Linked DNA regions of Tamandua tetradactyla. The protein of the gene in region 2 interacts with the protein of the main gene of each other region in a pairwise test. Links are inferred from orthologs where the notes say so. Each region holds a gene or a part of one and is shown on either strand. Other genes may lie near its edges. The genes, in order: PBXIP1, WASHC3, TXLNA and HSBP1.

Evidence for each region.
Region 1: the proteins of WASHC3 (region 2) and PBXIP1 interact in binary tests that used the Homo sapiens proteins (3 or more experiments, as listed by UniProt). The two-hybrid records come from large-scale screens. The link is inferred for Tamandua tetradactyla from reciprocal best matches to the Homo sapiens genes WASHC3 and PBXIP1.
Region 3: the proteins of WASHC3 (region 2) and TXLNA interact in binary tests that used the Homo sapiens proteins (3 or more experiments, as listed by UniProt). The two-hybrid records come from large-scale screens. The link is inferred for Tamandua tetradactyla from reciprocal best matches to the Homo sapiens genes WASHC3 and TXLNA.
Region 4: the proteins of WASHC3 (region 2) and HSBP1 interact in binary tests that used the Homo sapiens proteins (3 or more experiments, as listed by UniProt). The two-hybrid records come from large-scale screens. The link is inferred for Tamandua tetradactyla from reciprocal best matches to the Homo sapiens genes WASHC3 and HSBP1.

The regions. Positions count from the first base shown.
Region 1 is NC_135330.1:7,950,952-7,958,360, reverse strand, and holds the start of PBXIP1 (pre-B-cell leukemia transcription factor-interacting protein 1), read left to right. Parts: upstream 1-4,399; 5' UTR 4,400-4,570; coding exon 4,571-4,673; intron 4,674-5,035; coding exon 5,036-5,085; intron 5,086-5,770; coding exon 5,771-5,875; intron 5,876-7,409. Other genes in the region: SHC1 (SHC-transforming protein 1), read left to right, coding at 392-590, 667-736, 816-950, 1,095-1,333, 2,188-2,316. UniProt on the Homo sapiens protein: Regulator of pre-B-cell leukemia transcription factors (BPXs) function. Inhibits the binding of PBX1-HOX complex to DNA and blocks the transcriptional activity of E2A-PBX1.
Region 2 is NC_135333.1:172,203,394-172,211,013, forward strand, and holds the start of WASHC3 (WASH complex subunit 3), read right to left. Parts: upstream 3,001-7,620; 5' UTR 2,866-3,000; coding exon 2,815-2,865; intron 2,376-2,814; coding exon 2,277-2,375; intron 1-2,276. UniProt on the Homo sapiens protein: Acts as a component of the WASH core complex that functions as a nucleation-promoting factor (NPF) at the surface of endosomes, where it recruits and activates the Arp2/3 complex to induce actin polymerization, playing a key role in the fission of tubules that serve as transport intermediates during endosome sorting.
Region 3 is NC_135328.1:193,695,627-193,703,421, reverse strand, and holds the start of TXLNA (alpha-taxilin), read left to right. Parts: upstream 1-4,793; 5' UTR 4,794-4,917; intron 4,918-5,130; exon of another isoform or gene 5,131-5,396; 5' UTR 5,397-5,519; coding exon 5,520-5,697; intron 5,698-6,302; coding exon 6,303-6,641; intron 6,642-7,795. UniProt on the Homo sapiens protein: May be involved in intracellular vesicle traffic and potentially in calcium-dependent exocytosis in neuroendocrine cells.
Region 4 is NC_135342.1:78,500,091-78,508,028, reverse strand, and holds the start of HSBP1 (heat shock factor-binding protein 1), read right to left. Parts: upstream 3,016-7,938; 5' UTR 2,883-3,015; coding exon 2,838-2,882; intron 2,251-2,837; coding exon 2,184-2,250; intron 1,629-2,183; coding exon 1,510-1,628; 3' UTR 1,508-1,509; intron 83-1,507; 3' UTR 1-82. UniProt on the Homo sapiens protein: Negative regulator of the heat shock response. Negatively affects HSF1 DNA-binding activity. May have a role in the suppression of the activation of the stress response during the aging process.

The DNA.
Region 1 (7,409 bases), on a different chromosome or scaffold from region 2:
AGTCTTTAGAGAAGGTTACAAGATTCTGAGCCCCTCCCCGCTATTTGGTGCTTCGCTTTCCCCTTGGGAGATGGCACAGTAATAGGGCATGTGTTTTAAATTCAAAGTTATATTTAAGTCTCAGGTTTTAGTTGTTTGACCTTGAGCAAATCCTTTCACCTCTCTGAGCCTCATTTTCCTTATGTGTAAAATTATAGAAAGAAAAATAACCCCGTCTTCAGGGTTGTGGGGAGGATGAAATGATTGTGCACGTAAAACTCCAGCCTTGGGTTTAACAAGTGCTGAGTGCCCAGTACGTGGCCCCTGTCCTGTTCCTGCCCATTCATTGCCCGCCCCCCCCCCACCCCCTCCTCGTTCATGCCCTCGCCCCTCACTCTGGCCTGCTTCTCAGGATGGCTGGCTTCGATGGCTCAGCTTGGGATGAGGAAGAAGAAGAGCCACCTGATCACCAGTACTATAATGACTTCCCGGGGAAGGAGCCCCCTCTTGGGGGCGTGGTAGACGTGAGGCTTCGGGAGGGAGCCACGCTGGGCGCTGCTCGACCAGCTCCACCCAGTGCCCAGACCCCCAGCCATCTGGGGGCCACGCTGGTAGGTTGCTTGGATGGCGGTGGGCGGGGCCCTGGGCGGGAGGGTCCCTGCTCTTATCTGATTTTTGTCCCTGCAGCCAGTGGGGCAGCCTGCGGGGGGAGACCCAGAAGTCCGCAAGCAGATGCCACCTCTGCCACCCTGCCCAGGTCTGAAGGGAGCTGAGGTGGGCGGAGCTGGGGCACAGGGGGCAGGGCTAGGCTCACTGTAAAGTTTCCCTGTCTTCAGCAGGCAGAGAGCTCTTTGATGACCCCTCCTATGTCAATGTACAGAACCTAGACAAGGCTCGGCAAGCAGGGGGCGGGGCCGGGCCCCTCAATCCTGCCATCAATGGCAGCACACCCCGTGACCTCTTTGACATGAGTGAGTGCTCCTCTTTCCTTTCTGCATCCCCATTTCCTTCTTGGTTCGTCCATCTGCCGTTTCCTTCCTGGCCTTCTCCTAAGTTCTGGGTCCTGGGTGAGGAGCGTATAGGCTGCCTCTCCTACCCTCTCTCTGCACCCTCAGAGCCGTTTGAAGATGCCCTTCGGGTGCCTCCACCTCCCCAGACGTTGTCCATGGCCGAGCAGCTCCGCGGGGAGCCCTGGTTCCACGGGAAGCTGAGCCGGCGGGAAGCTGAGGCGCTGCTGCAGCTCAATGGGGACTTCCTGGTGCGGGAGAGCACGACTACCCCTGGCCAGTATGTGCTCACCGGGCTGCAGAGTGGGCAGCCCAAGCACCTGCTGCTGGTGGACCCTGAGGGGGTGGTGAGTGTGGCAGAGGTGGGGGGAGAGGGGTTGCAGAAAGAAAGATACAGTACTCTGCAGTGCAGCTCTGTTCCTTTATGCATTGCTTCCTAGACTTTCCCATCCGGGAAGCTCTGTACGGGTCTCCCCTGCTCTTAAAAGGTGCCTTGGTGACCCTTCTCCAGAGATTTAGCGTTCCCAGTTTTCTCCTCCCTAAAACTAAGCTGTATTCCTTCCAGCCCTGGCTAATCCTCAAATCCCTGAACCTAAAGCCCATCAGAGCTAGAAGGGGGCCTGAGTGCTCATCTCATCTGGGCCCCTCTTTTGACAGATGAGACCATTCTGGAGTTGTACTTGGTGGGCAGATGATTAGAGGCCAGACCCCTCATCCCTTACAAGTGGAGCCAGGGCCCTCCCCAGCTTCCCTAGACTCTGGACTCAGGGCAGTGCCCTTTTTCCTATCTGTACTGCCCCGGCTTCCCCTCACAATTTTATTCTCTCTGTTATAGCAATCTCAGCCTCCCTTACACATCCTTTTTTGCACGGTGTATCTTCTCGAGACAGGCCAGCTTCCTCCAGGGCAAGGATGGAGTAGCTATCCCTCAGTTTCACGGTTCCTGGGCTGGCATCCCTTCTGCCTTTCCCCAGTTCACTGCCCTGCCCATTCCCATGCCTTGTCGAGCCCCTTTCTAGAGAGGCCTCACTTATCAGGACTGACAGCTCCCCAAGTGCTACCTCCCCACCTCCCCACCCCCATGCCATTTTTTTTCCCCTTTTTCAACCCTCTTGAATATTCCAGCTCCCTTGACCTTGGAGGCTGAGGTCCTCTTATGACACTCTACCTGAATTGTCCCTCTCTTTTCGGACCTTCCCAGGTTCGAACAAAGGATCACCGCTTTGAGAGCGTCAGTCACCTCATCAGCTACCACATGGACAATCACTTGCCCATCATCTCTGCAGGCAGCGAACTCTGCCTCCAGCAGCCTGTGGAGCGGAAACTGTGATCCTTCCCAGTGCCCTCTCCCAGGAGACACCCTCTGGCCCCATCCACTTTATTCCCTGGCTCTCAGGAGTGTTCTGAGGGCTGGATCTTGTGTTGGAGCTGGGAGTGGTGTGGACACGTGGTTCGGCATCCGGCTGAGTGAGAGGGTTTGAGTCATGAGATTGGGGTGGAATCTTGCTTCTCCTCAAACCTCACCAAAGCGTTAATGTACAGAGTGGCTCCCTTCCCTGGGCCTTGTCTGTGCCAACCTGATACCCTCTTCGCCAAGAAGGTGGATTCTTGAGGCCTGGACAGTGCCTCAAGAACGTTCTGTGGTGATAGGCCCAGTGAAGCAATCACCCTTCCAGGGAAGAGGGAATGAATCACAACTTGGGTCTACCCCTAGGCTCAGGATATGCCCCAGGCCCCTCCCAAACCCCCTCCCTCCCCCCAGTGTTGAAACTTTGTGCCTTTGACCATCTCCTAGGTCTGAATATATTTTATGCAAAGAGTTCTTCTTGGGCCCCTGAGGTCAAGGACAGGGGTCCTGACACGTTGGCTTTTGAGACCCTCTCCTGTCTTTGTTCAGCACCTCCTCCAGTTTAGGTTGGGAGAACAGAGGAGGAGTGCCACCTGCCCCCTTTCCATGGGGGATGTATACCCTTAGAGACTGCCCCAGAGCCCCCCTCCCGGCCAGGGGGGAGATGGACTCCTCCCTCCCTCAGTGCCTCCTGGCCGGGGCCCCTCACAGAAGGGGTCTGTATATGACTTTGTAAGCCCCACCCCACCATGTCGCATGCATGTTATACTCTACAGCCAAAGTGCAACCGTTCCCCCTGTAGCCTCTGCCCTGCCTCCGTGGCTGGGGTGGTGCTGGGGGGCAGGGCTGAATTTGGGCCTCCTGTAAAATTAACTCTCCCAAGAGAGTTTTACAGAGCAGGGAACAGGGCCTTTGAGACTCTAAAGCAGTAGACAATCCCTAATATCATTTCTAGATGTGGAACTGCTTTTATTTTTTATTTTATATACATGTATTTTAAGGCTGTAGATTTATTTTTTAATTTTGTTTTCTATGGCTTGTTCTTGGAGCACAAAATGATAATTGATTACGTTTATACATCACTTCTTTGACTTTTCAAAGCCCTTTTACAATTATTGGCATTTTCCTCACCCTATCCCGTGAGGGAATTGGGATCGGCAGCATTAATTTTTTTTACAGGAGCGATCCGAGGCAGAGAGGGGTAGGGCTAGAAAAACGGAGCCTCTTACATCGAGGCTGGGAGGTAGAAGTATGGCTGAAAAAGGTTTCACGAGGGGAGCATTAAAACCTGTGTTGATTTATTGAGCACCTTTTACTTTTGGCGCTGCACTAAGCCTGGCCACCGAGACGGAGAAGACGGCCCTGCCCCTTCTCTTAGGCCTCGTGCATACGGGAGAGTTGACTTTTAATTCTCGCCTCCTTTTCGTGTGTGGATGTTTTCACGGGTTTCACTTATACCAAAGGGAAATAATCCTCATTAAAGTTCGTATTTCTTCTAGCCGGGCCTGTCTCTCGGTCACTCCGCAGGTCCATTGTTCGCCGCGGTGGGCGGGGAGGAGGGAGTGGGGGGGCTCAGGGCAGCCCCGGGGCGGGGCGCGGCGGGACCCCCGGGCCCTGCACGACCCTTCGCCGCCCGCGGGACCGGGGCTTCGAGCGCGGGGCGCGGGGCAGGCGCGGCAGGGTGTGGCGCGCGGGCCCCACGATCCGCCGCGGGTTCCTCGCGGGGACCGCCTCGCGCCGCGGGCTGGGCCGGAGCGGCCAGAGGGCCTGTCGGCGCCGCGAGGCCGGACCCCCGGGAAGCCCGGGCCGCCCCGGCGCGCGCCTCCTCCGCGGCGGCCCGGAATGGTACGGTCCGGCGGCAGCGCGCCCCCAGGCCAGGTGGCACGGGCCGCCCCAGCGGCTGAGACGCCGCCCCCGCAGGCTCGCCCGCAGGCTCGGCTCTCCCCGCGCCGCCGCCGGCAGCTCCCAGCCGCGTCCTGCCCAGAGCCGGGTCCCCCTGCTCGCCGGGCTCAGTGGTGGCGGCCACGCCGAGTTCCGCTTCCTGTTGCTGCGGCCGCGGGCGGGCGGAGAGAAGAGCGGGCGCGCGATTTGCGCTCCGCGCCGCATCTGCTCCTAGCCGCGCCCCGAGGTCGCTGCAGTGCGGGGGCCTGCACTGCCCCTGGCTCTCCTTCTGGGCGATGGTGCAGCCCGAGGGCGCCTCCATCTCCCGCCGCCGCTGACCCCGGTCTCCCACCCCATGGCCGCCTCGGCGCCGCCCCCACCGGACAAGCTGGAGGGAGGTGGCGGCCCCGCACCGCCCCCTGCGCCGCCCAGCACCGGGAGGAAGCAGGGCAAGGCCGGTGAGATCTCTGGGAGGGGCGGGGGGCGCGGAGGGGCCCTAGGAGGCTCGGAAGAGGGTAGGTGGGCGAAGACCTTCAGGGACTGGGGGCACGTGTCACAGACCCAGGGCCCTGGGGTTTTAAGGGACATGGAATTCAGGAGTCACTTGGAGTTTGACGGTATCAAGAGATGGACTCTCCTTCATTTAAGGGAAAAGGTGGCCTAGTATATACCCATGCTCACAATTCATTTTTCACATCACACCCTATGATGTTATGAAGTAAATTAGCAAGTGTATAATGAAGTTACAGGAGTTGCTCAGGGGATGGTTGGGAGAAAAGAAGTTGGGGAAACCTGTGTCTACCGTTTGCTGCTCTTCCAGGTCTGCAAATGAAGAGCCCAGAAAAAAAGCGAAGGAAGTCAAATACTCAGGTGAGTGGTGGCTGGTGGTGGGGGTAATTCCTAGCAGTTCCTTGGGACCCTCTAATCTACCACTTCCATATGTATCTGGATCTTGTATCAGGTACAGAGAGAAGGGAAAGCTGTCATTTTTACTATTTGTGGACCTTTCCCTCAGCATCATAACAAACCGGGAGAAATACCCACCCTTGAGAGGTGATATGGCCAAAGACCCCATTAGGCAGGGTCAGTTCGCCCCACCTGCTCTTCCTGTCCTGGGTCCCTCATGATCATGGCACTTTCCACTTACTGGACTTTCTCTAAGTGCCAGGGATTGTGCTAAGTGTTGTACAGGTTGGGAGATAGATATTGTTTTTATTTTACCTGTTTTTTAAAATCCTTGTTTAGTATGCTGGGGTCTTTTTTGTTCTGTTTTTGCCTTTTTGTGTGTGTGTGTGCTAGGGTTTTGAAACATTTCAGGGTCAGAGTTGGGATTTTAGCCTAATCTCTGCCTGCTTTCAAAAAAAGCACAATGACTGCACTATGCTGTTTGCTTTCTACCCTCTGTTCCTCTGTTATGTTCTAAGGTCCATCTTCATCTAAGATCTGAGCTGGCTTGTACCACCCTCAAAAACATATATTGTGTTTTTAGTGCTCTCCTCCCGGTTTAACTCGGCGTCTTCCTTCGTGACTTTCTCCCTCGTCTGGTCCCCCCCAGGGCCCTGCGTACTCACATCTGACGGAGTTTGCGCCACCTCCAACTCCCATGGTGGATCACCTGGTCGCATCCAACCCTTTTGAGGATGACTTCGGAGCTCCTAAGGTGGGGGGCACAGCCCCTCCATTCCTTGGCAGTCCTGTGCCCTTTGGAGGCTTCCGTGTACAGGGGGGCATGGCAGGCCAGGTACCTCCAGGCTATGGTACTGGGGGTGGAGGGGGTCCCCAGCCTCTTCGTCGACAGCCTCCCCCTTTTCCTCCCAACCCTATGGGCCCTGCTTTCAACATGCCCCCTCAGGGCCCTGGCTACCCACCCCAAGGCAACATGAACTTTCCCAGCCAACCCTTCAGCCAGCCTCTGGGTCAAAACTTCAGCCCTCCTGGTGGGCAGATGATGCCTGGCCCAGTGGGGGGATTTGGCCCCATGATCTCACCCACCATGGGACAACCTCCCAGAGGGGAGCTGGGCCCCCCTTCGCTCCCTCAACGCTTTGCCCAGCCAGGTGCACCTTTTGGCCCCTCTCCTCTCCAGAGACCTGGTCAGGGGCTCCCCAGCCTACCCCCCAACACAAGTCCTTTCCCAGGCCCGGATCCTGGCTTTCCTGGCCCTGGTGGTGAGGATGGGGGGAAGCCCCTCAATCCACCTGCTGCCACTGCTTTTCCCCAGGAGCCCCACTCAGGCTCCCCGGCTGCTGCTGTTAATGGGAATCAGCCCAGTTTTCCTCCAAACAGCAGTGGGCGGGGTGGGGGCACCCCGGATGCTAACAGCTTGGCACCTCCTGGCAAGACAGGTGGGGGCTCAGGGCCTCAGCCTCCCCCAGGCCTGGTGTACCCATGTGGTGCCTGTCGGAGTGAGGTGAACGACGACCAAGATGCCATTCTGTGTGAGGCCTCTTGCCAGAAGTGGTTCCACCGCGAGTGCACAGGCATGACTGAGAGCGCCTATGGGCTGCTGACCACTGAGGCCTCTGCTGTCTGGGCCTGTGATCTCTGCCTCAAGACCAAGGAGATCCAGTCCGTCTATATCCGCGAGGGCATGGGGCAGCTGGTGGCTGCCAACGATGGGTGACACTGGTGAAGGGCCCAAGGAAGTGCTCTTCCAGGGTGAATGTTTCCATGCCTGGCTCTTGGTCCTTGTTTCCACTGGCTTCCTATCCTCATGGGGCAGAAACACAGTGGCTCCAGGGGGGAGAAAAGGAACTAAGGTGGGCAGGCAGAAGAGGGTCTGGACTGCTCACTTTTCTGGAAACTTGCACATTGAGATCTGTAGAGGTCCAGGAAACCAAAGCCTTGCTGAGCAGAGCCATTTTTTGGGTGGCAATCTCTGGAGGCCTAGGGGTATGGCGGCAAGAGAAAAGGGGCTGGAGGAAGATCTGGAGAGCAAGGGGGTTCCCTCTGCTGGATGCCCTCTAACACCTGTGCCTAATACCCCTATCTAGCTTCACAGCTCCAGCCTTACTCTTTGGAGTCGAGTGTTAAAGGTTTCTGACCAGAGGAGTTCGGATCTCTTCCCATCCGTAGTAGCCCTGTGATGGGCTCTGGGAGACAGCTTTAGGGAATAAGTGGGGATTTTCTCCTCTTTCCACCCTCCCTTTACCTCCTCGAAGTCCTACCCAACTCCTCCCCCCTCAAAGAACCAA
Region 2 (7,620 bases):
GAAACTGGAACACTTATTCACTGTCGGTAGGAATGTAAAATGGTTAAGCTGCTGTGGAAATCAGTTTGGCGATTCCTCAGAAAACTAAATATTGAGTTGCCCTATGACCCGGCAATACCACTACTCGCTATATACCCAGAAGAGTTGAGGGCAGTGACACAAACAAACATTTGCACACTGATGTTCACAGAGGCATTGTGTTAGTTAGATTCAGTTGTCAACTTGGCCAGGTGAGCATACCTAGTCTTGTTGCTGCCATAAGCCAATGGTACGTGAACCTCATCTGTTGCTAATTACATCTGCAGTTGGCTAGGAGGCGTGTCTGCTGCAATGAGTGACGTTTGACTTAATTGGCTGGTGCTTAAATGAGAGATCACAACGTGGCACAGCTAAGCAGCTCGGCATTCCTCATCTCAGCACTTACAGCTCAGCCCAGGCCTTTGGAGATGCAGAAAGAAGTCACCCTGGGGAAAATTGTTGGACCCCAGGAGCCTGGAGTGAAGACCAGCAGAGACTATCCTGTGCCTTCCACGTAAGAACGAACCTCAGTGGAAAGTTAGCTGCTTTTCCTCTGAAGAACCAACAAAATAAATCCCCTTTTATTAAAAGCCAATCCGTCTCTGGTGTGTTGCATTCCAGCAGCTAGCAAACTAGAACAGGCACTATTCACAATTGTCAAGAGATGGAAACAATCCAGGCATCCATCAACAGATGAGTGCATAAACAAAATATGGTATATACACACTATGGAATATTATGTAGCATTTAGACAAAAGTGTCCCAAAACATATGCTGAGTGAAATAAGTCAGACACAAAAGGATACTGTATGATTCCAATATTATGACACTGATAAAGCTGCCAGTGTCTTGGAGCAGCTAGAAGGAAAAATCTGAATTTAGCCCATGACAAACTCTGGGAACTGTTCTGTAGCTGCTTGTTGAAGTGTGCGTCACAAATTTTTGCTTGTTTTCTTTCTTTTCCTTGTGTGTGTGTGCATATATACACATATATATATACTGTATTTTACAACTAAAAATTGGTTTAAAAAAGGTATTTTTCAAAAAAAGTGAATCATGAGGCTTTTACACCACAAGGCTTTGACAATTCATAAGCATTCAATCAAGAGATCATTATTACTTTTGATCTAAATGTCAGTAAATAGCACTCTTCAGGCGGTGGTAACTGTTAGGTGCTACAAAAGTGAGGGGCTATCCCTGCCTTAGAGCAGCTCAATCAACTTGATTTCAATGGTGTATGTGCTTGTTTTGTTATCATCGTCTGTTTTAGTTCTTAATTTGGTGATGAGGAATAAGGAGATGGACTATTTGCTCCTTTCCGCAAACAATCCTCGGATGTGCCCTTCCCAGAAACCTCTCTATCCCACCTGGTGTGAAAAGTGAAGGGCTAAATTCTCAGCTTACTGTTTTTTATTCAGTGAATTCTATATCCCGTTTAGACAGGCAGCATTACAAGATTAAGTTCATGGAAGCAAACACCTAGTCTTTCCGCCTGTTATCAAAGTATATTGAATTGATCCCCTTACGCTATGAATGAGCTCAGGCTGCATTTTTATTTGTCTCGGTGAGAAGGCAGAAGATTTTGATAAGCAGACAAACACAGTAGCTGGACTCATATTAGTGAACATTGTCTTCCTGTGTCCATACAACTTTTATTAATAACACATCTAACAAAAATTCCACTTGCTAAGGTTATACATAAAATAGAGTGAACTCGATACTGTTTACTCAGTTGTCTCACTTGTGAATTATCTAAGATCCATGATTTACCCACTTCTCATTTCTTCTGTTCTTTCCTAAACCCGATTTCAACCCGTTTCCCTTTTTTTGGCTTTTCTGGATCTGGTATCTAATCCTTCATCTGGTACTTAATCCTCACTGCATGAGTCATTTGCATCAAGTACCTTTATTTGCATAATGATACTGGAAGCTAAAGTTATGTTTCTAGGCTACCTCTCCTAATCATATTTTGGATCAAGGAATGTAAAATGATTTTAATATAAACTGAAACACTGTGCACCTAAAAATGTGAACCTTCGGGGTAAGGTGAACCCATCTATCAAGGATGTTTTCAACAGCGGCCCCGGGGAAGTCCTCTTGCTCGCTTTAGTCGCAGTCAACCCGCCCGAGCCATCGGACCCGGGCGCTGAGCACGCAGGTCCGCAGGGGCGCGGGGCAGCATCGGCCGAACCCGAGACGGCTCGAGGGTCTCTCCGGGCCACTCGGAACTCTACTCCAGGAGCCGCCACAGGACCTACCTCCTCACACACCGTGGAAAAGCGGTTGAGGAACTGGACTGTGTGCACCACAAACTGATTCAGAAACGCCACCGTTCTTTTCTGCTGGATAGCGGGCACCTGCGTGGCGCGGAGACAAACAGGACGCGGCGTGAGGCGCCGGCCACGCCTTCGCAGGCACCCCCTGGAGCCCTCAGAGCCGCTTCCTCAGTTTCCCCGGACAGCGGGGCGGGGGTCCGAAGAGGACAGAGGCTGCGGGCAAGTGGCGGAACGGGCTCTGGAGTCTCAGTACCTCGGACAGAAAGAACGTCCGGCGCCGAGCTCAAGGGGCCCTCGGGCGACCCGGGAAGCGGGGGCTGGGGGAGCGACCCCATCCGCTTCGTGGGGTCGGGGGCCCCACTGCGAGGCGGGCTGCGGGGCTGTGCCTCCCCAGGCCGGCAGAGGCCGAGGCTGGGGCCAGGGGCGGTGCGGCCTGCGGGCGGGGGCTTCTGCCCGGGGCCGGGCTCCCTCCCCATCCGCCTCCCCGGGCGCCGGAAGTTCAGCTCTGTGTTTTACAAACCTTGGTCAGGTCTAGGCCCGACCCCATGAGAGGAAGCCCGTCCTCATCCATCTCCTCGGAGGGTGGGGGGCCCCCGGGCTCCCTCGTAAAGCCCTCCCCGCTGGGACCCACCCAACACGGGCCTCACGTCGGGCACTTCCCGAACGCCGCCTTCCGGGGCCGGCCCGCCGGAAGGAAAGCCTCCGGGCGCCAATCACGCGGCAGGTCCCGGAAGGCCCGCCCCCTCGCTCGGCATTCTGGGACTGGTAGTTCCAGGGCCGGGTTGTGACGTCGCCCACGGGCGCGCCGAGTGGAGCTGGGCTGCGGAGACGTCTCGAAAACGGACGGGGGTGAAGAAAGAAAGGAGTCGGGGGTTGTGTCGGTTTGAGGTCTGTCCTGCGTAGTCTGGCCTGCTATGTAAATAGCTGTTCCGCCATTCGTTGAACAAATATGTATTTTCGGTCTACTCTGCTAGGTCCTGTGGGGACGCAAAGACGGAGACGAATTATGCTCTGAGGGAGGTAAGACCTGCCCCTGTGGGACTTCACAGCAGAAAATCAAATGTCACTTGCCACGTGGGAGGAATAAAGCAATGGAAATGGCTTCTTTAGATCGCGGAAAAGGTCACCTGGGAATGAGCTCTGACACTGAAATGTGAAGCTTTTGACTGCAGTGTAGCAGCTGTGTGACTTAGGACGGTCACCTCACCCAAAGCTTCGGCTTGTCCCGTGAAGCAGGCACGATGCTGAGGACGGAGAAGGTGACAGGAACCACAGTCTCTGCCCTCAAGAAGGTTATGACTCGGCTGTGCAGAATCTGGAAGAGCAGCTTCCGGACGGACAGGCCGACACAGTCCTGTGAGAGCTGCGCAGACGCACGTGGCCGGGATCGGAGTGCTGTGCGGCCATAGACGCAGGCTCGCCGCGGTGCGCTGAGAAAATAGAGGGAAGGAGCTGGGGAGCAGCTGCTTAACGCTGAGCGGGCTTGGCCTGCCAGACACGTGGGGTGGGAGGCCTGCGGGAGTGCGGCGCGGCCCTTAAGGAAAGGGAGTAGTGTTTGGTTCTATTGAAGCACGAAGTTCCAAATGGAGAATGATAGGAAATGAGACTGGATTCATAGAAACACACTCATTAAGGGCGTTTTGTGTCAGCTTTGATCCTATAGGCAGTGGTTCTCACAGTGACCGTGCAAATGGACAATCTAAATCAATATTTGCAAGGGGGTGGTGCTTCTTAATTGCATATTCCAGGGATTAATCCCAAATAAACCGAATAAAAGGTGCTGGGGGATGAGACCTAGAAAACTGCATTTTAAGTAACTCCTTAGGGATTATTCTAAACTGAAAGGTTTGAAAATTGCTTCTATATGTGATGAGGAGTAAGCGAAAGAAGTTAAGCAGGAAACAGGATTTGGAATTTGGAAAAGGGTAAGCAGTGACTAGCACATAGATACTTAATAAATGCTGGAAACAGAAAAGTTGAGAATAGTGTTTGTACACATCAATAATGGGAGGTAGAAGTGAGGAAGGATAGGACAAATAATTTTAAATGCATATCACTCTCCTTTGAAATGAAAATTCAGTTTTAATACACAGTTTTGAGGGCTAAGTATGATCCAGGCATGTTGGAATGTGTTGAAGAGTTATCCATTCAATCAACAGATAGTCCCTACTATGTGCTGTTATGAGTTGGGGATACTGCACTGATTAGAACTGCCCCCAAATTCCTGCCTTCATAGAAGTAAACAGATTATATGGAAAGCAAATCGATATTAAATTGTTTCCAGTCCAGGAATGGAGAAAGAAAATTGAAAAGAGAATAATAGTGTGATAGAGGCTAGGCTAAAGTATGCTGTGAAGAGGAGTACTTAACCCAGTTTGATGAAATTTGAGCTAGCTCCCTGGATGCATGATTTGAAAATGCAAAAGTTATCAAGGTGAAGGAGTATGGGAGGGGCATTCCACAAAGGGGAACAGGCTATGCAAAAGAACTGAGATTGAGCCCTAGAAAGCTACATGCTCACCTACTACCCACCTTTGACGGGAGGAAGACCACCACCTACTCTTTTTTTAAAAATATATTTTTATTGAGATATCTTTATGCACCAGACAGTCCATACAAAGTATACAATCAATGGCTCACAACATCACATAGTTGCATATTCATCACCATGATCATTTTTAGAAAACTTGCACCACTACAGAAAAAGAAATAAAGGGGGGGGGGAACCCATACATCCCATACCCCTTACCCCTCCCTCTCATTGACTACTGGCATTGCAATCTACCCAAATTTTTTACCTCTTATCTCCCCTATTAATTTGTCCTTATTTTCTTTTTATTCATTTGCCTATAACCTGGATAAAGGGAACATCAGCTACAAGGTTTTCATAATCACACAGTGACATTGTAAAAGCTCTATAGTTATACAATTGTCTATAAGAATCAAGGCTGTTGGACCACAGTTCAACAGTCTCAGGTACTTCCCTCCAGCCCCTTCAAAACACCATAAACAAAAAAGGGATAGCTATATAATGCATAAAAATAACCTCCAGAATGACCTCTCAATTCTTACTTGAAATCTCTCAGCCACTGAAACATTTAGTCTCATTTCTCTCTTTCCCCTTTTGGTCAAGAAGGTTTTCTCAAACTCATGATGCTGGGTCCTGGCTCATCCTGGGAGTTCTGTCCCATATTGCCAGGGAGGGAGATTTACACCCCCTGGGAGTCATGTCCCACATAGGGAGGAGGGCAATGAGGTCACTTGCCGATTTGGCTTAGAGAGAGAAAGAGAGAGAGAGAGGCCACATCTGAGCAACAAAAGAGGTTCTCTGGGGGAGACTCTTGGGCATAATTATAAGTAGGCTTACCTTCTGCTTTGTAGGAATAAGTTTCACAGGGGCAAGCCCCAAGAAAGAGGCTTGGCCTATTAAATTGATTGTGAGAACATCAGCAATCCCCTAGGTGGGAGATATGAATATTCCCTCCTTTCTCCCGGGTCCCCCAAGGGGACTTTGCAAATACTTTTTTATTCTCTGCCCAAATTATACTACCACCACTTACTCTTTCCAGAGCTTTGCCTACTCCTAGAGTCCCCACCCTTTCCTCTTCCAATGCCATTCTGTGCCTTGAGTTCATCACAATTAGTTCTGGACCCCGAAGTCATCTTTTAGCCTCAGACTCCCATCCTCATTCAACTTTCTATGTTGCCTTTTCTGACTCGTCCCCAACTCCTAGTCCCTACCTCTGTGCTCTGTGAATCTCAGGCTTTAGCAATCCCCGCATTTTCTCTTCCTCTTCTTTGATCATTCCCCTCCCAGAGCAGAATACCCAGCCGGTCAGCCTAGCTTTCCTGTCCACTGCTTCCCAGTTAAGGGGGCAAAAAAAACCTAATTACCTTATGATTTCATGGTGAAGTACAAGTAGCAGGCATGTGTGTGTGCGTGTGTGTGTGTGTGTGTGCGCACGGCACATGCATGCTGATTTGAAAGTATTACATACCACAGAAAAGCCCTGTTTTAGTCCTGATCCAATCATGAGGGGACAGCTGTTTCTTTTATCCTAATTCAATACTCTAGGTGGAAACTCTATTAGATCATCTCCATAAAGATGCGGCACACCCAATTGTGGGTATAACCTTTTGATTACGTGGAGATGTGACTGCACCAATTTCAGGTGGGTCTTGATTGGTTTACTGGAGTCCTTTAAAAGAGGAAACATTTTGGAGAGAGTTAGAAATAACGGAAGTGACAGAAGCCACACTTGAGAACAGAGACACGGATGTTTGGAGATGCTTGGAGCCCAGCTGATGTCACCATGAGATGTTAAGCCAGCTAGAACCTGGAGAGAGCCAAGGGAAGCTAATAAATTAAAGCCAGCCCTGGAGAAGCAAACTTAGGAACCCCACAGGAACAGAGGCTGAAAAGGAAACGGAGCCCAGAAGTAAGAGACCAGCAGATAGATGCCAGCCACTTGCCTTCCCAGCTGACAGAGCTGTTCCTGACCCATCGGCCTTTCTTGAGTAAGGTAACCTCTTGTTGGTGCCTTAATTTGGACACTTTCATTTCCTTAGAACAGTAAACCTGTACTTATTAAATTCCCTTTTTAAAGCTGTTCCATTTCTGCTATAGTGCATACTGGCAGCTTACAAACTAACAGTGTGTATATTATATATGTACACATACATACATATACACACATATCAAATTAAACTATAAAAACATGGGCTTGTTCTCAGTTGGTCAAGTGACCAAAATTAAAAAAAAAGTAATTTGGTTCCTTCAAAAAAAGAGACAAATATGCTACAAGATGTAAGCTATAGTTATGAAAGAAGAGAGGCAGTTTCTTTCTGCCTCCTAGGATTCTTGATGATTTTAATTAATCAGTCATCCATAGTTCCTGACAGCAGTGCCATTCACATTTTAATAACAGAATTTCCAGGACTATTAAAAATCTTTAACTAGGAGTCTTGACCAAATGCTGGAAGGTTTCTGAAATATGTACTTTTTCCTCCAGGCTTTCTTTCATTGGAAATGTATTACCAGATTTCATTTATATAGGAATAACAAGTAGATTGTTATGAATATCGATTTCAAAGGGCAGAGACTATACATACCACTTGTATATATTCATTCAATAGAAATCTTAAGGATTTTTCAATAGTTTTCTGTTTTCATAGCAGATTACTATAAATTGATGTTATTTAATTTTATCATGCATAAATTCTTTATTTTTGTCACATATTATTGAGATATATTCATTTATCATATATTTTATCCAAATCATATAATCAGTATCTCACAGTGTCTTCACTGAGTTGTGAAATCATC
Region 3 (7,795 bases), on a different chromosome or scaffold from region 2:
AACAGGGTCTCTAGAAACCTGCCTTTTAGTTCCAGAGGTTCCCACTGACTGCCTAGCCCTGGTGTTGGCAGAATCCCTCTTGTAGAACCAACCACATGTGTTCCACCCTCAGCTGGCCAGCCTAGTTACTTGGAGCAGTGGGCATAAATGACTCTTCCAAGGAGCAGGTATTGATGACCCCACTTTCAAGGATCCTTGGTGTTCTCTCTTACCTGGATCTACGTTAGATCTGTTCCTTCCACTCTGTTTGCCCTGGAGGTCACCTTCCAGAAGGCCTATTTTCTGGAGATGAATTGCACAGATTCTAGCTGCTACTGTACTTAGTCAAGGGAGAGGGAAAGAAGGCTTTCAGGCACACATGTTCTGTTTCATTCAGGCTGAACCAGTTTAAAATGAAAACCATCTAGGAGAGTGAATTGGATTTCCCCGTCTTCTCTTTGGAGTTTCCCATATTCTAGGAAACTGGAAGGAAAGGAGATGAAAACTTAGCAATACTTCCTTCTTTGTCCCACATGCCCCTCTTTGAAGGTGTCAGCTCATTTGCCCAGGTCTCATCTCTTCTCTAAACTCATTCAACTTGGTATCCATCATCTTGGGTTTTCCTTAGTGATTTATCCTATAGTCTCATTCTAAATTCTCAGTAGAAGGCAGGAAGCCAAATTCTTCAGGTCCCTGTACACTCCCATGGGGGCTTCAGGTATGTTATATGTGCCTGTCTGCCTCACTGACAGGCTGGGGAAGGATCTAGGGCCAGGACTCGGAGCCACAGCAAATGTTCATAGCCAGCAACATCTTCCAGGTAGGACTACCCTAGAAGTGAATGAGTGTGGAACTGAGATTGTTCAGAGGACATTTCTTCCACAGCCATGTTAGGATTACACTAACCTTGTCCAGTAGTTTTTTTTGTCATAGTTTGATTCTTTTGTTGAGCCAACAAGCTGAGAATTTGGCCCTATAGGGATTTATCTGGTAGGCACTAGGCTGCTATTTGGCCAATGCCTTCATAATGATTCAGCCATCCATTTCTGATCCCCTAGCTCCAGCCCTGAATTAAGACCATGGCAAGGGAAGAATTTGAGGTCAAGACTAACCAAATCTTGTAATTCAGCTATTATTTTTCCTCTGAGAAGGCATTTTGCAAATACTGTTAACATTTTTCATTTATAGCAAAGCAGAAAATAACTTTTTAACCTATGTTTCTTATTCCTTGCCTGCCTGCTCTACTCATACTTCCCATCTGGCCCCTATAGGTCAGTATTAACTCTTGCCTGCTACACCTACCCAGGCCTGGGCTGTATGCAGAACCAAAATTGGCTATGAGAGTTAGAAGAGGCCCAGAACACCCTATGAGAGCTGCTGTGTGGTGTAAAGGTCTTCAGTGAGCTTGGGCTTCACTGGCTAGGCCAGCCCAGCTTCTCATCTCCATTAGCACTTGCCTGAACCTCTCTGCTGAATCCCGTGTTCCCTTATGTATGTCTAGTTTTCAGCCCCTAGGTTTGGGAAGAGAAAACTGCCATCCCCTGGGACAGTGAAGAAAGGCATTTCTCAAAGGTTCTGAGACTGGCTAGAAACCTTTGACTCAGAGAATGTCCTCTACAAGAAACCTTGGACCCTGAAGTTGAAATTTGGTTTCTTTATCCAGCTTTTGTGCGAACTGCCTTTGATTGAACCACTAGAGAAGGGAAAGGGTTATGGGGCCCTAGCCACCCAAGGCGTACCTGATGTTCCCTAAGAACAGATAGGCTTCCCAGCTACAGACCCTAGGAAGGTGAATACATCCCTTCACCTCACTGGTGTTTCAGAATTCATTTCCTTTTATTTTTCCAAGAACATAAACCGTCTGGCTATTTTCCATATTCTCAGGGCCCCTAGGGAGACAGAGATACAGCTTGATGATTTCAGAGCATAGGCATTGAGTGTTTAGTCCAGAAAAATGATATTTATATACACATCCAAATTTGAAGAGAAAATGTATTTCTTTAGGTTTCAAACACTGTAATAGATATAAAGCAAAAATAAAAACCTGTTGCAAAGTTCTAAATTGTTTCTTTTGATTTGGAGTGAAATTAAACTGAATTTTTTTGGAAGTGAAGGAGGGGAGGGTGTTCATGCCTGTAGCCTAATGTAGGAAGAAGAATTGCACCGGCCTGCTCCTGCTAGACTTCTTTTTTTTTTTTCAAATAATGAAGTTATAACGTACAATAAACTACATAAAGTGTACCCTGTGATAAGTTCGGACATATACTACCATGAAACCACTATAATCAAGATAGTGAACATAAAAGTTTCCATATTGGGCGGGCCATGGTGGCTCAGCAGGTAAGAATGCTTGCCTGCCAAGCCCGAGGACCCGGGTTCGATTCCCGGTGCCTGCCCATGTTAAAAAAAAAAAAAAATTAAAAAGTTTCCATATGCCCCTTTGGAGTCCCTCCTTCCTGTCCTACCCTCAGCAATTACTGATCTGCAGTGTGCCACTATAGGCTGGTTTGCATTTTTTAGAGTTTCTATAAAGGATGTTGACATCATTTCAGTCCACTACTCTTTAAAAGGCTTATAGGCTTAAGTGAACATTATCCTCATTTTGCCCATGAAGAAACAATACCACATACTTTGAGATCATATAGTTTTGTTTTTCGTTTCATGTTTTTTTTTTTTTGTATGGCAGAGTCACATTTCATTCTTTTTCCAGATTGTAGCACCATTATTGGTGCACCATTTGTTGAATTTTTTTGTTTGTTTAGTTTTGGGAAGTGCATGGGCCAAGAATCGAACCCAGGTCTCCCACATGGCAGGCAAGAATTCTACCACTGAACTACCCCTTGCACGCCCAAGATCATATAGTTTTATAAATGCCTTGCTTCAGTTTAGATTAATTTCTAAAGCAGAGAAGCAGCCAAAAGTTGATTTTGCCCAAAAGAAGAGTTTTGATTGGCCAATAGAGTGTGTTTAAGTTTTAATTAGTTGCCAAAGTTAAAAAAAAGTCAAGATAATATCTTGTCTTGAAAAATATTGAATATCTGGCACTGTTCGGCCTAAGTTTTCTGCTTGGCAACAAACTGCAAAAACTGCTCTATTTTACCATAATCCTCACTATTCCCAATTGTATTCCTCACTCTGTCAAGTGCAAATATCACTACCATTTTTCTTTTCCAGCAAAGGAGAAAGTAACATTTTAACTCATATTTCTATCAATTTTTCTTATTGCCCACCTACCTCCTCTATTCCTATTATCATATACCTCCACAAGACATTTCCAACATGCTGTTATGGAAATAATCAAGTACGTAGGGTAAAGAAATCTGGATTTCAAATCCTGGCTCTTTAGGACACTGTCTTTCTGAGCCTCAGTTCTATCATCATACCATTATACCACATTGCTTCCCACTCAGTGTTCCATCAGACACTGGTGCCGCCTACGGGCTGGGGAAGATTAGGCCCAGCACTGCCCTGAAATCTTAACCAAGCCTGTGCTGTTAGACTGGTGCTAGGCTCTGGAGCTAGAAAATTTAGTCAACAGTTCTTTGATTTGTAAGTAAATAGTAATTTCAACCGTTTCGAATAATTCTGTAATTGAACTCTGTCCAGACTAGAGTGAGGACAGACTGCAGAGGATTGAGAACATACTGAAGTGACCTGTAAGCATAGCCACAGAAAATTTTGTTTTTGCCAGAGGGTCATTTTGAAAGAGGGAATATGACCTGCAAAAACCTGGGAAATTGCAGAAATACTAAAAGCACAGTTGGAGCCAAAAGGCAGGGAGAAAGAGGAGAGTTGGTTGGAAAGAGGCAGCAGCCAAACCATGTAGGCTTTAAATTCCAGGCACAAGGATTGTCTGCCATTATTCCATTATCTATAGGCGGTGGCAATAAAGAATTGCAATCTCACATTTGGAAGGAAAAAAAAACTTGGCTTTCTTTTTTAACTCTGGTGCTACTGGGACTTACTCTGTAATAGGTAGGCCAGAGAAGAGACTTAGGAATCTTTGCCTGAAGCCAACCTCTCCTGCAGGAACCCCTCAGACCCTTCCAAAGAGGGACTAATGGCCAAGTTGGTGATAGGAAAGAGGGTAAAAAAAACTTAGTTTCACAAGTTACCTTGACATCTTCAGCGTAAATATGCCATGATTATTTCTTTGGTTATTCTAGGTGAAAGACAGTGACAGACTTTCTAGTTTTGACTCCCTGGTCTAACTACCCATTTGTAGTATGACCTTGGACAAGTTATCTTTTACCCCACTGTCCTCACCTGTAAAATGGGAATAACAACAGTACTTACCTCCATGAGTAGTTGAATATTGAACTAGTAGATACCAGAAATGCACACAGCAAACGGTCAACAAACTGTTACTGTTATTATTAAAAGCCCCTCCCTTGAATAAGCAAATAGGAACCCAGTCACTACACAGCAAATTAGTGTACTCAGGACTGGAATACTGGTTTGGTTCCCAGCTCAAGATTCTATCCCTTGCCCTGACTCCTCGGAGTTCGTACATAGCCACAGAAGTTCACAGTAAAGAGTGAAGGGATGGTGGAAGCATGCAAAAAAGAATAACCAGGCGCCAGGCCTGGGGACTGAGTCATAGCTTCTACGTAGTATGAAAAGAGGTTGACGTGGGTATTGTGCAGAATGACTAGCTGCTTTCAGAACTCCTGAGTATCTGACTGAGAAGACTAAAGCCCTATGTACTGCATCTTGGGAATTGCGGTCAGCTACCCCGGTGCATGTAGGGACTCGTAGTCCTCTCCCTCCTCCGCCTTCCCAACGTAAGCGGCCTCAAAAGGCGGCTTCGCTTCGTCTTTCCCAGCAAGCCCCGCGAGAGCGCGAGCTATTGATTGGCGGCGGCGGCGGCACTGCCGGCAGCGGTTGCCCAGGGTTTCCGGTGCGAAGCTACAGCGGGTGAAGCCGTCGGGCGGTGAGGTGCGTACTGTGGCGACTAGTGGAATGAGACGATCGGAGGGCCTATGGGCCTTGATGCTTCCGGCCAGTGGGAGGAATCACGCTGACTCCACTCGTGGGCTCGGGCCGGAGAATGGGTTAATGCCTATGCGCATGCGCGGGGGTGTCGCGCACACCGTTGGCGGGCGCGCGGGGCGTGGGTGTCTGCGCGCGCATGGGGGCCCACGTGGTGCTTGGGGGCGGGGAGAGATCGGGAATCGAGCCTCCCGCCACGTCAGTCTCCGGCCTTGAGCCAATCCCGCTCTTTGCCTGTGGTGAGGGGGCCGTGTTGTGCCGGGAAGTGGCTTCGGGGAAAAAGAGGCCTCTTTCCTCGACTGCTCCAGGAGTGGAGCTCGGAAACCTGCCTTGGCAGGCCAAACTGCCCCGTCAGCCCAATGACCAGCAGAACCGTTGGCTCCCTCCGGTGAAGGCCCGCCAATCTGTTTTTGTTTGTTTTAAAGAGCTTTCTCGCCCGGTCTTGGAATTTCTGATCCAGAGAGGCTGCGAAGAATTTCCAAGTCTGGAAAATAGCAGCTGTGTTTGTTTCTAAAGGATCTGCTGCTAACCTAGCATCGCAAACCACAATGAAGAACCAAGACAAAAAGAATGGGGCTGCCAAGCAATCAAGCAACACTTTCAATCCAAAAAGCGGCCCAGGGCAACCGGAAGCAGGACCGGAGGGAGCCCTGGGGCGGTCCAGCCAGTCGACTCCGGCGACAGAAGCTGAAGGTTCCTGCTGCCAGGCCCCAGGGAAGACTGAGGGTGTGTGTCAGCTCTGCTTTTCCGGTGGTCATGGGGAGGAATCTGTGGTACGCAGGTTTAGCTTCCGGAGTGAGAGGCCAGAGATGTAGATTGAGAGAGGACAGTGCTGAGTCTGTGTGACCCCCACCGTTTCTTGGGGAGTTGGTAGAACCTCCCCCTCCAGCCACAGGAACAGAACTCTCTTGAGAAAAGGCTCTAACAGGATTAGCCAAGTGACAGTCAAATGAGAGACCCAACCTGCAAATCCAGGTCCTGTTAGGTAACAAATCAGTCACCAGTGGGTCTATATTTGAGGCATTTCTGGAACTTTTTAAATAGCAAACTATGGCTTTAGGGGGAAGGAGAAAGTGATGGACTAGAAAGTGAGCTCCTGCTATATGTCTAACTGGTGCAATGTGCTTTACGTACTTGACCTCTTATGCTTACAACACACCTTCTTGGGTGGTGGTAAGGGGTAGTTATACTATTTTATAGGTAAATAAAATGAGGCTTAAAGAGGTTAGGCAGTGTTTAACCCCAGCCAGGGAGTTTAGCAGGGCCTGAAAAATCCCAACCAGTGGTATAACCATCTTATTTCTCATTCTGTCCCTCATCTGCTGCTGTAGGGGCTCAAGCCAAAACTGCTCAGTCTGGGCCCCTACGTGATGTCTCTGAAGAGCTGAGCCGCCAGTTGGAAGACATCTTGAGTACATACTGTGTGGACATAAATCAGGGGGGCCCAGGTGAGGATGGGGCCCAGGGTGAGCCCACTGAACCTGAAGATGCAGAGAAGTCTCGGAACTATGCAGCAAGGAATGGGGAACCTGAACCAGGGACCCAAGTTATCAATGGTGAGAAGGAGACCTCTAAAGGGGAGCCATGCACAGAGGAGATCCGAGCAAGTGACGAGGGCGGAGACCGAGACCAACGAAGGCCACAGGAAAAGAAGAAAGCCAAGGGTCTCGGTGAGCAGAGGGCAGCTACATGTGAGGCTGCTGAGGGGAAGGCATTGGGACCCAACATTACTTGTGCTAACTGCTCTGCCAGAAGTTAGAGGAACACAATACTCCACAGAGCAGTGAACCATCCTAACTTAGTTCAGTGGGTGGCATAGAGGTCTACAGGTTGTTTCACTGCACAAGGGCGCCTGGCCTTGGGAGCATGTGAGGGCTGACATCCATTCTGATCTCTCTTTGAGAAACAGAGAGCCAGAGGCCTGGGTGACCGTCTGCCAGCCAGAACTATCCCTCATCTGCTGTGTCACCTTGAGCAAATACTTCCCTCCTTCTGGCCTTAATTTCAGCTTTGCTTTGTGAAAGGATTGGACTAGACTGGGGTCAAAAACTCAATTGTCTGCACAGGCTAGCCAGGGAGCCCCATGAGGACCAAGAGAGTTGCCTATTTCATTCACTTTATCTCAGCCAATTGATAGCATGCAAAACTACAGGCTCGTGCATCTGGAATTTTGTTTCTTTGTTTTTTAAGAAAAAACCAAGAATCTAAAGTAAAATCTCTAGATTTTTAACTGTTGACAAAATGCTATGAGCCAAACAAAACCCACCCATGGACTGCATTTGCCCTGTGTTCTAGAGATTTGCAGTGTCTGTACCCATCTCTTGGAGCCTCCCAAGGCTGACACTAGAGGTCCCTGGGTGTAAGTGGCCCTGCAGGGTAGAAAGGAGATTGACTCAGGCACAGGCAGTGCAGAAAAGATGGTGACCGACAGTCACTTGACAGCCTTCAGAATAAGGGTATTAAGAATTGAGGTTGGGTGACATTATATGCATATCCTTTTCCCCACTTTCCTACCCTCTGCCTGTGGCCCTAATTTAAAGAGGAAATACTAAAAAAAAAAATCTTACGATCACGTATATAGAAGATATATACTTTTTTTTTTGTATGCTGTATAGTGGGGTCACATTTCATTCTTTTTCCATGTGAATATCCCGTTACTTCAGCACCATTTGTTGAATCGTTTGTTTTGTTGGTTTCTTTGTTTGGGAAGTTGTATGGGCCAGGAATCGAACTCTGGTCTCCCGCAAGGCAGGCGAGAATTCTACCAATGAATTCTACCAATGAAAGTATATACCTCGCACCCCGAGGTATATATTTTTTAAAA
Region 4 (7,938 bases), on a different chromosome or scaffold from region 2:
ATACACAGTAGTTGCAAAAAGCCATTAGGTCTTCTCTTGGCTTGTAAAAACGGTGTTCCAGATTTCATTGTCAATTAGCAACCTGTTTAAAAAGGAAAAATGACATGTTTGTCATTATATGAGAACAAATAAAAAGGATACATAGAAATATAAGAATTCTCTGAATTAAAAAAAATTATCTGCACAATATTCCAGCAAAATAACAGATTTTTAATTGCAAAGTTTTTTGTAAAAAAAAAAACAAAACAAAAACTAAATGTTTTCTGCTCCCATTCCTTTACATTATTCCCTGTCACTTGGAAGTCTTCAGTCCTGCAATTCTTGAAAGGATGTTCTTATTCACTTGATGGGAATTCTGGCTGCCAAATAATATATAAGAGGAGACCCAGGGAAACTTATAAGACTGGCAGGACAGTTTCTACATTATCTCTAGAGAGAATAACAGAAACCATGCAACCCAAGTACGTGATTCAGTCACACAGAGAACCAACCTAGTTTATTTATAGTTAACAGTTTTTGACCCCTCAAGCCTCTATGTATTCTCTTGGACTTCAAAGCAACCTATATGGCATAGTTAACTAAAATTTGGTTCCTGGGTCGGCCAGAAAATAAGAAAGGAATTAGGTATATTTTGCTGTATAATTCTTGGTCCTCTAGTTAGCTAACAGTTGTCAGTAAACTTCATTATTTTTTTAACATGGGCAGGCACCGGGAATCAAACCCGGGGTCTCAGGCACGGTAGGTGAGAACTCTGCCACTGAGCCACCATCACACTGCCCAATTTCATTTTTTATAAGGGACTAAAATGCTAAAAAATAAGATAGAGAAAAAGTTTATTTAAATTAAAAATTAATTTTGGGTTGTAACAAGGTACCCGCCACACACACAAAAAGGCTTACAATGAAGAAACCCACTACAGTGAGAATAAGGCTATCCATCTTCTTGATAATATAACTCTTTTTAACTAGCATTTCTTCTAGTATCTGAAACTATTCAGTGGAAAATTCTATCAGCTTCATGGCAGAGGCTTAATTAGCTGCTTTCTAGATCATCTGCGAAAAATCAATCGTTGTCTCGGCATTTACCTAGTGCAGGAGGCTCTTAAGAGTTCTTAGGCTTTAAGGTGGTCATGAGAGGGCTTGACTTATTTGGTATTTCAAAAAACCCAATGAAAAATTTTCCAGTGATAAGGCTTTGCAGGCCAACAACACCATATTTGCTTTTTAGCAGAACAATCTAAACTCAGTGGTTATCTAATGTTAACTAAGGGTTTCAACCAAAAGCAATAAAGATCCAATTAATAAAAACTGGGATAATTTTAAATAATTGGTTTGGCATGAAAAATTTCAAAATATGGGGTCCAAAGGAAGAAACAATAAAATGAATGCTTGCTGGGATAATGGCTGGGATGTGAGCCAGAGAAAATCTGACTATCTCAAAATTATATTTAGAAGTACCTCTCTGTATTCCACTTTTTGTTTTTAAAATAGAATTGAGCCTCCTTCACCTTCAGCTCTTTTGTGCAGCAGGTATCTTGTTTTCCCCTTCCAGTTCTTCCACCCCAGCCTGCGTCATGAGGTCTGCAATGTTCTTCTCCAGATCGTCAATGCGACTACTCATGTCATCAAGTGGTAAAGTTAGGGATGCCACATATCACGTCCGCTCAGTCCTCATCCTTTCCCTCCAGGGCCCTGCAGACCACAGCCTGAACCCGCCCATCTTACGACACTGGTTTTCCAATTTTCTTTGGATCCTGTTCTAGTCTGGTGGTGGAGTCCAGGAACCTGGGGCAAGGGGCAAGGATGCCCAGGGCCAACTCTGTTCCATGCTAGCGATTGGATCCTGGAGAAGCTTTTCACTTTTCTCAACCTCAGTTTCTTCGTCAGCTACATCAAGTTAACAACATAATCCATGCATAAGGTTATTGTGAGGATCAAAGGAAAGATATATTAAGCACTTTATCTCACAGTCAAGGGTCAGACTAGCCAGGATGTGTCTAGCTTAGCTCTGTATCCTGAATCTTTAGCATGATACTTCTCAGGAAACAGCACATCCAGGCTCGGTGAAAAACTTGGTAAATGACTGGATTAAACTGGGCTGCAAATCACCCATCTATCCACACCACTACCTGGTAAACAGGATCCAAAGATCCAGAAGAGACTGACTACCAATAAAAAGGATATTTCTTCCAATGATTTGGTCAGACATAATCTGAAACTTATCTTGCATCTGTTGCAGCAGTGTCTGCACCTAAGAAAAGAAAACATTTATTCCAAGACGTCTTCATGGAATCAAGACAGAAGGCCAGGTCGGGAAGCGAGACCTGGTGGCAGCGCTGTGGTCCTCAGGAAGGTATTTCCTACACTGGGCTTCAGTCCTCCGATTTCGCAATTATTAATTAGACTGATGAGACTGAAGCCCCTTCCAGTTTGGGCCTGCCATGATTTATACAGTAGGGTCTTTTGGGTGTTTTCTGACGGCTTGGACGCATCGAGGTGCCAAAGGGGAGGTAAGGGGTGAGTTGGGGAGAGAGAAGGGTGTGGGAATGAGATGCTAGCGGAGTCCTAGGGGTCACCAGGGCGGGGGGCGAGTTTCAGGAACGGGAGGGGGGTGAGAACCAGAGGGAGGGTCGGTCCTAGGTGGGGGCATGCACAGGGTGCAGGCCTACACTGAGCGGAACTGGCGGGGTCGTGGTGGCCAGTTAGGCCTTCAGAGGAGCCCCGCGAAGCCGCGGTGGGGGCGCCTCGGTCTGGCATGGCCGGACCACCCCTTGCGTCACTCGGCCTACCCCTGCGCCACCTTCGGCCCGCGGACCTCGACAGCGCAGCTTTCCTTACCACCGAGGTGAGATCCTGCAAGGTCTTGGGGTCGGTCTCGGCCATCTCCCCGGTTCCCAGCTTGGCGGTGAAGTCTCGGCCCGTCACCTATACTTCCGTTTGTCCGCGCAGACGCCCCCAGCGGCTTCTTCTCGCGAGTGAGAAGACAGGTGCGGGACCGCGGGGCATTGTGGGAGCTGTAGTCCACGCCGCTCGGCGGAAATGCCTCGAGGCCTCGCGCTTCCGTTCCGAAGCAAGCTCCGGCCCCTCACCTCTTAGACCTTCCCCGTAGAGCCTCTCCACGCCCCTCGCCCCGCCCTCCAGAGTCCTGCCCCTTCAGTGTCGCTCCGCCCCTCCAGCCCTATCCCCGCCCCTCCTCGTCGCCTTGTGTAACCTCGTGTCTCTCCGCCCACGCTCGTGTCTTCCCCACCACGCCCCTCCTCGTGTCGCCCCGCCGGGCTCCTCCCGGTGGCTCGCTCGCTGCGGAACACGTGCCGCAAAAGCGGCCGTGGGACGCGGGGCTGGGCTCTGGCCTGCCTCCCCGTGGTGGTCCCGGGTAGTTTGGTCGCTCTTGATCCTCGGGACGTACTTCCCGCGTGCATGTGCGCGCCGCCTCGTGTGGCTGCCGCTCCTCGAGGAGGCTCGCGGAGCCCTGAACCCGGGCTCATCCGGAGGGGAAACTGAGGCCAGAGAGGTGAGGGGCGCGCCCGCCGGACGGACGGCCGTGATGCTGCGGGTCTGCCCTCGGGCGCGGTATTTTCCTCAGCCCTCGAGGGGCAGGCGGCTTGTGGGCAGCATGACACACCTCCCGCCAAGAGCGGACGTCCCCCCGCACGAGGTCCTGCCCGCGAGCCGCCCTCCGGGAGCCCCTCAGCCCCTACCAGCGCCCTGACTGTCAGCGCGGTAGACCTGTGTTGCAACTTCACCTGCGGACGGCCGCGGGGCCTCTGTAGCCGCTTGGCTGGCTGAGTGGGGAAGGCTAGTTTCTTGCGGCGCAAGAGACTGGATTTCAGTGCTTAATGTCGATGCTCAGACAAATAGGGTGGTTTTGATGTTGGAGAGCCTAGGCCAAAGGCCAGGGTGTGTTCTGTGTAGTAAAGAATTTGGTCATGTTCAAAGAAAGCCTTTGCCCCCGCCTCCTGGAGCTAAACTTTCAATCCTTGAATTTTCCCAGGTGTTGGGAGGACAAGGATAAGTTGGGACCTCTGCTCCCCAGGTGGTCTTGGGATGGAGTCCCAAGGCAAGGGGGTAGGAAAGCCCTTGACCATGGCCTGGTGTGTTCTGCATGCCTTAACTCATCTAAGGACCTCCTAGTCTGAGTTTAGCTGGAGGGAGGGTGTGCGAGAACCACCCCCAGCACCTGTAGCAAATTTGGAACTGCAGCCTGTCCTCCTGGGTTGGCCGCGAAGTGTTCAGACTCCAGTTTCCTTGGCCTGTCCCTGTCTGGGCACATGGAGAGCTTCCTTCCCACGTCAACGGTGCAGCAGCTTGCTTTGTTAAAGTCAAGAGGACACTTCTTTGCAAAGACAAAGCTTTTTATAATTGGTTGCTGTTAACTGGTATTTGCTTATTGCTTTACCACATTTCTTACAAAAAAACTCTCAGCGTTTGAATTTAATCCTCAGAACCCTATGATGTAATTATTACCACTTTATAGTTTTGAGAAAACAGATCCAGAGGGGCTATGAAACTTGAACAAGATCATCAAATTAGAAAATAATAGACACAGGACTCAGACTCAGAACTTTTTTACTTTATTTTTCCATCGTTCCAGAATTCTCTGACTTTTCCGATCTCAGAGCAGGGGTTCTCAGCACTCTTGATATTGGGGGGGCTGGGTAATTCTCTGTCGTGGTGGGAGGGGTCTGCCCTGTGCACTGTGGAATGTTGAGCTGCACCCCAACCTCTACTCTCTAGAGGCTAATAATATATCCACCCCACCCCCCCTCACACCCACCCCCGCTGTGACAACCCAGAATGTCACCAAATGTTCCCTGGGGTACAAAATCACCCTTGGTTGAGAACCACTCAGAAGGACTTGTAGACTTTGCCTAAAATTCTCAATACTTGTTCATCAAACATAGGTTTGTTCTTGCTGGGTCTCTTAAGAATGTTTCCCCTGAGAAATTTAATTTCCCCAAGTTGAATTCTTGATATTCTCACAAGCAGTGTGGACAACCAAAGCTACAGGCTGAGCCCCCAGTCTTGGGGTTTGTTCATATGAAACTTAACCCCACAAAGGATAGGTCAAATCTACTTAAAATTTAGGCCTAAGAGTCACCCCCAAGAGAGTTTTTTTGTTGCTCAGATGTGGCCTCTCTCTCCAGCCAACATAACAAGCAAACTCACCACCCTCCCCCTGTCTGCGTGGGACATGACTCCCAGGGGTGTTGGACCTTCCTGGCAATGTGGGACAGAAATCCTAGAATGAGCTGAGACTCAGCATCAAGGGATTGGGAAAACCTTCTCGACCAAAAGGGGGGAGAATGAAATGAGACAAAGTGTCAATGGCTGAGAGATTCCAGAGTCGAGTGGTTATCCTGGAGGTTATTCTTACACATTAAGTAGATATCACCTTGTTATTCAAGATGTAATGGAGAGGCTGGAGGGGAATGTAGAGCTGTGTTCCAGTAGCCATGTTTCTTGAGGACGATTGAATAATGATATAGCTTTCACAATGTGACTGTGTGATTGTGAAAACCTTGTGTCTGATGCTCCTTTTATCTACCTTGTCAACAAACGAGTAGAACATATGGCATAAAAATAAATAATAGGGGGAACAAATGTTAAAATAAATTTAGTTTGAAATGCTAGTGATCAGTGAAAGTGGGGGTAAGGGGTATGGTAGGTACAATCTTTTTTTTTCTGTTTTCGTTTTCTTTCTTTTTCTATTGTGTTTTTATTTCTTTTTCTGAATGGATGCAAATGTTCTAAGAAATGATGAATATGCAACTAAGTGATGATATTGTGAATTACTGATTATCTATGTTAATGTTGTATTTTGTTTGTTAAATTTTTTTAATTAATAAATAAATTTAAAAAAATGCCATTAAAAAAAAAAAAGAATGTTTCCCCTGTATATATTGAGAGTGAAGGCTGGTGAAGCAATGCCACCTGAAATTAGTATTATTGCTATTTTGTAAAGACTTTTTCATAACGCTCCAGAATCTTTTGAGAGAGTAGCCAAGACTGGATAGGATCTCAGACTTTCTTATTTGAGCTCAGCATAGAAGTCTGCGTACCCCTAGCTAGGTTGCAAGCCATCCTAGCTTACTGTTATGAGAAACAAAGGAATGTGAATTAGTATTAGGATCTGGATTTTCTTTTCTGGCAAGAGATTTGAGGTTTTAAAATACTGAAGTTTTCTTTGCATAAACAGCAACAAACTTGGCACTCTTTCTATGGAGACTTTTTTTTTGCACTTAAACAGAAAGATGGAGTGCATTGTGTGTGGAGACCACAGGTCTGTTAAACAGCTGCTTTCCATGAAAGCGACACTAATTTATGGTCATGGCTCATATACTGTGTGAAGCTGACACACTGAACCTAACTGAATATTGTTCCATTAACAAAACTACTGTATTATGTGTAAGGTGCTAGCAATTAACCTTTTCATTTTTATTTTTTAACAACCCTAGTTTTAAACCTTTATTTAAGTGTCATAGTTGTCTTTTTTTTTTTGCTCTTTCAAAATCATTGCAGTTTTAATTCTTTTCCCCTTTCAGGAAGGTTTGGTTTTATGTGAGCTCAATGTGGTACTTTCATAATGGCACTTTGTTTCCAGCTGGGCCGCTCCGGCGCTCTTTCTATCCAGCTCTAGAATGGGGGCTGTGTATGTGTACGTGTATAGGCATGTCGATGAGCTTTTTTGTTTGCCTTGTGGAAGAAATTATCATATCAGGACCATGGAGAAACCTTTGAATTCGTTTGCCTGGTTGCACCTGGATCAGCTCTGTCATGGGTGCGAGCTGCTGCAGCCTTGTTTTTCTGGTTCTGACACCTGACTGAGGTGGTGCTGCTGGGGCAGTTTCCAGATATAATGCTGCTTTCTTCTGAGTGGCCTGGGCTGCTGGAGCTCCTAACCCTTCAGTGGTCATTCCAGACTTTTCCAGTTTCTTCACACCCAGCATGCATTCCCTTCACGTTCAGAGGGTGCCTCTGTGTTCTATTTTGCAGAGAAAATAGAAAATCTCAGTTACAAGCCTACTTAATTCCTACCCTCTATACCCTCATATGCACCTGTCTTCACACCTGTCTTGGCTTTGGCCCTTTTTGTCTCCAAGGAGGAAGTGTCCTTTCCATGTCCAAAGCTGTCCATTTGTCCACTGTAGAGGGCTGGACTCTGGACCCCATCATCAACTCCAGCAACTTGCTTCCTCCCCTCCTTTTTCCCATTGACTCCTTTCTCTCAGCATATAAAAGTGGTGAAAACCAATAGAAAATCCAAACCACCCCAACCAAAGGGAGCCTCTCCTGGCCTTCTTGGTTGCTGCTCCATAATTGAGGTTCTAGAAGGAGAAAAGTGTGCCATTGTCACTCACTGCCTCCCTCTCTTACCTTCTGCTCATGCAATTTTGTTTTCTTTAAAGTTTATTGTCGCTTATACAACCTGAAGTGCACAGTGCCTGTCTACCTATACATAGCTTGGCTTTTGCTTCTCTCCATTGAAACTGCTCTGGTTGAAATCACCAGTGTCCATGCAATTTCCAGATCAAAGAAATGCTTATTCAGTTCTTTTCTCACTTGCTTTTTCTAATATATTGAGTCCAATTATTTGTTTAGAACTTATTTTCCTGCTCTCTATGGGCTGCACACCAGGGTGTATCAGTTTTATCTAAATTTGCAAGTTCGTTGGCATCAAGTAAGTGTTGATAAGATCTCTTTTGAAAAAATGTTTTCAGCTTCTTTAGTTAGGACCATTTTTATATTCCTAAAATTGTGTATGTGGACCTTTTCTTTTTTCCTTTATCAGTTGTACCAGAGGGTGTCAGTTTTGTTACACTTTTCAGCTTTTGGTTTCATTGATCCTTTCTATTGTATGTTTGTTTTTGGTTTCATTGCTTTTCCTATGTTTTCTCAGAATTTATTCTGCTTCCCCCCGACCCCAATTTAAGTTGTATGC